2 linked regions of the Drosophila melanogaster genome follow. The protein of the gene in region 1 interacts with the protein of each later gene in a pairwise test. Each region holds a gene or a part of one and is shown on either strand. Other genes may lie near its edges.

Region 1 (4,856 bases):
ACAACAACAACAGCAACATTAGGAACAACAACAAAGTCACCGAGCAACAAACAACACGAATTTCTATGGCATCAGGGTAACAATTTTAAGGCTTGTCTCTCTTATGAAATACGACAGCCCAGCGAGATTTTTAAATAATTCACAGGCGTGATTGGACACGCTTCGAGTATATAGTAGTAGTATCTGCCAGATACGATACTGCAAAGGGGCAGGGTACGCCAAATTATCCCTGCTTAATGTGCCCCACTCATGCAAACCCTGCTCCTCCGGATGAGCCGAAGATGCCACCGCAACTTGTGGCCAAATGTCAGCAAGCTGCCTGCTCTGCTGGTCCAGTTAAAGTACACTAATTAGTCAGATAGCCGAGCATGGCGGACACCTGAACATGTCAAGGCATTCGCCGGGGTGCCCCTGGCCACCAGAACCCCTGCTAACCCACTGCTAACCCCCTGCTAACCCCTTCTAGCACCGTCGATCGGAGAGTCGCGGCGATTGCAGCCGCCGACAGCCATTTAAGGAGCCACTCGAGGTCAGTGTAAAACAAATAGCACACGCAAAAAACAATCAAAACGTATAGATGACTAACCAGTGGAGTAGTGGAGTGGCCACAGGTGAGTTCGCTCTACGATCTGCACTGCAAATAATTCTAGAGAAAAGGTGTCATACCAAATCACACAAAAAACCTGTGAAGAATGACTGGTTAAAAGATTTAATTGAACCCAACTGGACATATGTATTATAAGAGTCCTGCAAGATACATTAGTTCTATAATTAAACAAAATGTTTTCTATTTTTCCAAGTGTAATCAACTGGACGCGGTCACTTAGCTTCCTGCTGCTAACACAGACATCATCGGCCAACAAAGCAACAAAGTTCAGTTCCAATAGAGCAGCAATTGAATGCGAAATTTATTGCCGGCGATCGATCGCTTGGATCGAATTGAATCGCGGATTCAGAACTGTATCGAATATCGCGTATTGTTCGATTTCGGTTTCCATTCGTTTGGCTTGTTAGCCAGCCGCTTGACGTACTACAGCCAAAGGCCCAAAGTGCAGCGACACGACCCACACACGTTTGTCCGCAATTATCGGCGTTCTAATGGAGCATTGTGAGCATTGTGATGATCATAAATTTCGATCGTCCACTTCCTTATGGCAGCCATGGGGTCATGACTCATCGATCCAGTGAGGATCCCATTGTCTTAGCTATCCGCGCTCCAAGGCCATCGAATGTTCCACTCACGGAAGAAGTGCCCACCACGTCTATTCCCTAATCCAGAAATCACAGCTACGGTTCCTTATGGCAAAAATAATACTTGCACTCCTTTTAAACTGATTTTTATTAATAGAAATCAAATTTGATTGGTTTTGGGCAGTGTCTCTCTTGATATTTGATGTTCAATAAGAAATGATTCCTTGGCAACACAAAATTTGATCAAATTATTGCAACAATTCATAGACATTTATTTTCTTACCATTTTCCATTCGAGTGGTGTCGTTTTAAATAAAATTAACCTTTAGACGATTCAAGGAATTCACGTAATCCGGATGCTGCAAAATATGAAAGTGTTAGTATATGCTTTCGAAACTCCCGCCCCGGTTTTCCCACCGTCAATATAGGCCGCCTGATCATGGTTCCCTTTACATTGAGCACCACATCACGACCTGATCCCTTCGAGCAGAATCCAATGGCCTGGATCACAAACTCCTCGGTGATCTGCTCGCAATCGGTCAAATCAATAACTTTCAACTGGGGACACTTCCGCAACATCCTCATCATCCCCACGTCCATCACCCGACCGCACGCGGTCAGACCAAATCGCTCCAGCTGGCTGAGATCGTTGAAGAACTTGAAGTGATCGTCGTCCAGGATATCGTTGTTGCTGAACCGCAGATCCGTGAGGCTACTCAACTGTCCCAGGCACCTGGCGTGCTCATTGGTGATATTGAACTGACCGGATAGGTGCAGATGGGTGAGCTTGTTTCCTCGTTTCTCTGCCAGAACCGTAAGGAACCCAATATTCAGCTCGTTGGAGGTCATCCAGGTTTTCAGTGTACAGCGCTCCAGCTTGGGCAGGTTGGCGATTACCTCGAAGTTGGTGTCGCAGCCGGAGAAGATCAGTTCCACCAAGTTCGTGCAGCTCTCGGCGATTTTCTGGTACAAGCTCACATTCATAACCTCGAAACAACAGTCGTCGAGATCCAAAGTGTGCAACGACTTAAGCGGAATTCCAAACTCCATCGAGTTCCATAGCAGACAGTCTCGAAGGACCAAAGTTTTGAGATTGGGAAAACCGCAGAGATTTTGGCCTGTTGCGAAAATAAAGTCCCGCAAACGCATAAATAGAGTGCAGTGCATACCTACCTGTATAGCAACCATTAACCAGTTCAAAAAACTCCAGCTCCTGGTTGGGCTGCATATCAAAGTTGAGCACATCCTCTGCATCCAAACACTCAATAGTCACCCGTTTCAAGTGCGTCATTTTGGACATAATCGATCGGTAGTGAAACTCATCGGTGGCGTTCGAGTAACTAATCTCCTCCAGATTGGGGCAGTATTCCTTTACGAACTCCACCAGCAGGGACTCCTTTTGGTAGGACGCACAGTCCACTTGAAGGACTCTGATGAAGGGTCCCGCCACCTTGAAGAACCTGATCAATTGCGGCAGAGGCACCGTCTCCAGACTAACCATGTCCAAAGCATTTCGTTGCACTCTCGCCCAGCCCTCGAAGGCCGCTCGGAACTTGGGCGCCACACAGGCCAGCAGAACCTTATCGGTAATCCTGGGCAGAAACTCGAGAACCAGTCGGATGATGTCCTCCGGCAGATCAAGCAGACTGGTCCTGCATAATGGCGATGGCGATGGCGATGGCTCACTTTTTTGGACTCCACCCGGGCGATTGGAGCGAACTGGGAATGGAGTCTTCACTGATCTCGAATGCGTTTTCGCCTTAGGCATTTTTTGGATTATTTGCTTGTACGTAAATTTAGATTAATTCATTTTTGACACTGCCCAGATGTTATGATAGGAAATAAGGGAAAATCAAGCTCGACCTTGTGTAACCGGGTAAATATTAGAGTCCTGATACCGTAATTCAAGATCCAAATCTAAATACTCCAGAGATCTATAGGGAAAAAGACTAGGACAAAGGACCATCTTAACGAATCTTTGGATTTGGAACTGCGTACTGAACTTAAGTAGCAATATTAAGAAACTACATTTTTGCTTGCAAGATCTCCTTGGTGTCAACATATTTGTGATCTGATCCAGCATTATGAATTCCCATGGGTCCAGGCACTTCCTACGGTTGACAGTGACCGCCAGCAGTTTACGGTCGACAGGTGGGGGCAATTTCGCGCATTCCTCTATTATTCACCGCATGAGCAAGTTTTCTTTTTGTTTGACAACAATTAATTGCATAATTGTCTGAATAAATGCATAAATCAATTACCGGTGATTGAGAAGTCGCCATACGATATACGCTACACGTACTTATTTATTTATTTATTTTTACCGGATATGTTTGAAGAATTAAGTTTCGGTTTTTGTTTACAAAGCTTTTGTAATTCACAAAAGCAAACAACTTAGGCATAATGGCAATGCCCTATAATTAATGGAAAAGTAATGGAAAAGGAAAAGAAAACTGGTATTTAAAGGAGGAAATTGTTATAGATTTAATTTTAAGCAGTTAAAGTATGCTGCTCTATTTGCTCATAGCAAATACTTCTAAAACACGGAATCAAAAGCGTTTACTTAGAGAACTATTATTTAAATTATAAATAAATTAGTAAGCAATTAAATAGTGCTGTTATATGTTAAGTAACTTGTTGAAACATTAATTTCGTTATTTTTCATACAATGACAATTGCTAACATTGTGCTGCAAAAATGGTAAGTTTTTATGATTAATTATATTTGTATGTTTGTTTTTAAAGAAGTCTCTGCCCATAGTTCTATATTTAAAAAGATATCCCTTAGCGTTAAGCAATAGATTAGTAAATAGTTTATATGCAATCATTTTAAACTTTAGCGAAAACAAAGAATAGCCTTGCAGTTTATCTAATTAATTTTAAGAAATCTCTTCTAGATGTGACAATACATTAGATTTGTCGCTACAAATCTTAGATCCAATGAGTCAACTGCATGGTGCCATCATGCGTCCTCTGGGTGTCCATGACGCTCATTTGGCGCACTAATCGCTTCATCGAGGGCCGATGAACAGGTCGCCCACTTCCACTGGCCGTTGTGTCCAGGGGCGTACGCTCGTCAATGCGGGGAGCCGGCTCCCGAACCCGTCGACTGTCCCGCAGCTCCAATTCCACCTCAGAAGCATTGGTGGAGGATCCAGCCAGGACATCCAGGTTCTCGTACGACGCAGGTTGAGATAAAATCTCTCTGCAAAAAGTAAGCACAATATATATTAAATTAGTTTTATACCCGCCTTGGTCACCACATGCACATTGAACTCACGGCTTTTGAGCGCATCTACAGCAATCTTTGAACTGCCAGTTCTTGCCAAACTCCTCGCCCTCCTCGATGGTCTGCGGCAAGCGATGATGCAGTGTTTCCGGCAGCCGCAATCCCGTCATGCCGCCCAGCATCGAAAGGAAGCCCATGATGACCAAGGGCAGTTTAAGATTGTCCTTTCCCAAGTAGGTAATAAAAGGTATGCCAATGAGACCCAATCCTCCAATATAACTGGAAGCACCAATGCCGATACCCCGAACCTGAGTGGGATAAAGTTCCCCGGCAAAGGGGTATATGATCAGGAAGGAGGCGGATAGCAAGGCTTTGGATACTAGATACAGCACAAGGGTCTCATCCACGGCATCATCGGGCAACATTACAGTGATCAC
Region 2 (3,103 bases), on another chromosome or scaffold:
TTGTTGTTCTTCACGATATTCTTGTTTTATAAATTATTACTTTTTTTTCAAATCAGTTTCTTTAATCAGTAAAAATTAAATGTAAGTGAGTGGGTTGCGGGTAAGGTCGGTTAGATTTTAATTAATATTTAATAGCTTATAGTCTAGCAATATAATTAGGGTTCAAGCAATTGTTCTCAGTGTATTCATTTGTCGCGTTAATCTGTATAGAATTTGTTCAACTTTGGGAAAAACAAGAGAGAATGCTATAGTCGAGTTCCCCGACTATCAGATACCCGTTACTCAGAAAAATCGATAGATATAAAAAAAAATTATAAAAATTTTAAAAAATTATTCCAAAGTGTGGGCGTGACCGGTTGGGCGGTTTTAGGGCGTTCGAGTGGGTGTGGCAAAATTTTTGTTTTTATCAATAGAAATTTACGAGACTAATAAAAATTTGAAATAATATCAACACGTTTTTCGAAAGTGTGGGCGTGGCAGTTTTGTGCGGTTTGTGGGCGTGGCAAATTAAATAAAAATTAAAAATACAAAAGTAATATAAAATAAGTCTCCTCCTTGGGTTCACATTTAAAGGAATTATTGCGAATAATTCAAATATTTGCGGATATAATTATTCAGAAAATTTCTCTCAGTGTACATTCGCAGTTTGATATCTTTCACGCAAGTATAGGTTTAGGTCCGATAGAATTTATCAATATGTTTACTTCAGCAGAAACTTCTCCCTCTGTATTCATGTCTTCTAACCCTAAAATTATTCTTGTCCACATGCTCACTTTTTTTAATTAATATATCTTTTAAGCATTTAAATTAAATACAAATCTTAGGGTTTTGGTTTATGTGCGGCTGCTGTCAATCGATGGGAAGGGGTGATCCCCGGGACGGCTCGAAAAGGGTGCTCCACAAGACGGCATGACTCGAGTTCATTTTTTTGCTGACCGCCTAATAGGTTAGAGCCTTTGCGTCAACTGGCACACAAAAAAAAAAACTTAAATCGCGTTCCGTTTGGCGGCTAGGAAAACTCACTCGAATAATGGTATTTTCGCACTTTGTTTTTGCTATCCAAAACGGACACTTTTTTGGCCGAATTGCATCCTCATCCTCGTATTAAGTACGTAATTAAGTACTAAAGCTAGCAAATCGAAATTCTTCTTTGTATCTTGGATTTAATATTAATATATTATTTTGGAACTCGGTTCAAAATACAGTTTTACGGTAACTGAAAATTTTGATTCTGTTAAGTGTATATATTTTATGGAAAGCAAGTTACACATAATTGGAGTGTTTCATAAAACAATAATAATACAGTAAAAGGGAATGTTAGAATCGCTAATGAGTATGTAACAGGTAGAAAGTGCCTTCTGTCCGTCTGTTTTTCAAATGAAAAAATATATATTTAATTTAAAGTTTTTTTGAAAAATTAGAGCAAGTAATGTAAGCCCACGTGCTATTTTCCAGTTCCCTCTGTTAAAAATATTTTTTACGGGGTTCTTTCCGGAACTATTATTTTGAAATTTTTTGATTGAGCACTTACCCAACATTCATATAGGTTTTAAAATTCATATTACACTTTTTTTTATTACACTTTTAAGGTCTGATATGATAAATAAAACACGATTCGCGATTCTCAATAAAAAAGCTAAAGCGAATCTACAGTTCTTAATGTTAAGACTTCCAATTTCTAGTGTGTACACACTTGACGACAGTGATTCCGCAGTGATCACATCTGGTCACTCTGTTCTCTATTCTTTTTTCTTTGAACTTTCGAATCGTCCAGTTGGCACGTGCTCTATCAATCATCCCATCTTGTTCTTCTGAATCTCTTTGAACGTAGTTTGGCAAATAGAAAGGCAAGGCAAACCGAAAATGGATGCTCCCACCATCAAGCTTGAGTCCTCGGATGGGATGATCTTTTCAACGGAAGTCCGAGCCGCCAAGCTCTCCGAAACCATCAAGACCATGTTGGAGGTCTCTGCCGTGGAGAACGACGAGAATGCCATTGTGCCGCTGCCCAAGGTGAACGCGTTCATCCTATCCAAGATTCTGACCTGGATCTATCACCACAAGGACGATGATGCCCATGGAGCGGAGGGCGTGGAGTTGAGCCCGCAAAGCCCACATGACATCTCAGCCTGGGACGCCAACTTTATTAACGTCGATCAACCCACCTTGTTCGAAATCATACTGGCCGCCAACTATCTGGAGATCAAGGGCCTAGTGGATCTCTGTTGCAAGACGGTGGCCAATATGATTAGGGGAAAGACTCCCGAGGAGATCCGCCACACGTTCAACATCCCGGACGAAATACCGAGCAGGACGGCCCAGTTGGGCGAAGACCTGTGAGGCACAGTCTCTTTCGGAGCAAATCCGGTTGGGACACCTGGAACCTTCCTTTGTTGAGAACTTATTTGTTTCACCAGAATAAATATGATATTACGAGTATTTTTGAAAGCATATCTATTGTATTTTATCAACATATTCAGTTTACAGTTTACTTTGGCAACAAGAACACATAAAACATAACTTTTTAAATCGTTTCATGTTCGCTTGGGCTAAAGGAGTGCTCTGGCTCTATTCCCAGTTGATTGCCACCAAGCCGCCCGGGGATACAAGCACACACCACACACCACACCACACACCGACCCACTCCACTCCATAGCACCCCAATCCCGGAATCCTGGTGCTCCTTAAGCCGGTTCCTGATTTGGCAGCCACGCTAATTTCCAAAAGCCTTGGCCGTTGGCGCTTATGAGCTCTGCATCCATGAAGTTCGCATTACGTATGTAAAATAGTGCAGAAAACCCCCAAATGAACCCAAGCCCAGGGTCCCAATCCTCGTATTCCAAACCCTTGGACACAACTTACGCACTTTACATACCGTTGCGGGGTGGGGAGGCGGGTGGTGGGTGGCAGGAGGCTGGGCAATGTCCTTTATTGTAAGTTAAGTTGCTGCCCACACATCTGTGTGTGAATGTGGGAGGGGGCGGCCTACGGCTTGCCACTCGCCTTTCTTCGTCCGTTTCATGTGTGCTTGAAATTTAAAATGCTCTGTGGAAATTGGTTTAGTCATGTATGTATGTATGTATGTATGTATGTGCCCAGTGTG

The links.
Region 2: the proteins of CG9316 (region 1) and SkpC interact in a two-hybrid assay, tested with the Drosophila melanogaster proteins (2 studies listed by BioGRID).

The regions. Positions count from the first base shown.
Region 1 is NT_033779.5:20,723,498-20,728,353, forward strand, and holds CG9316 (uncharacterized protein), read right to left. Parts: upstream 3,055-4,856; 5' UTR 2,960-3,054; coding exon 2,365-2,959; intron 2,310-2,364; coding exon 1,609-2,309; intron 1,551-1,608; coding exon 1,500-1,550; 3' UTR 1,475-1,499; intron 1,415-1,474; 3' UTR 712-1,414; downstream 1-711. Other genes in the region: CarT (carcinine transporter), read right to left, coding at 4,122-4,395, 4,471-4,856.
Region 2 is NC_004354.4:19,814,275-19,817,377, forward strand, and holds SkpC (SKP1-related C), read left to right. Parts: upstream 1-1,797; 5' UTR 1,798-1,863; coding exon 1,864-2,340; 3' UTR 2,341-2,426; downstream 2,427-3,103.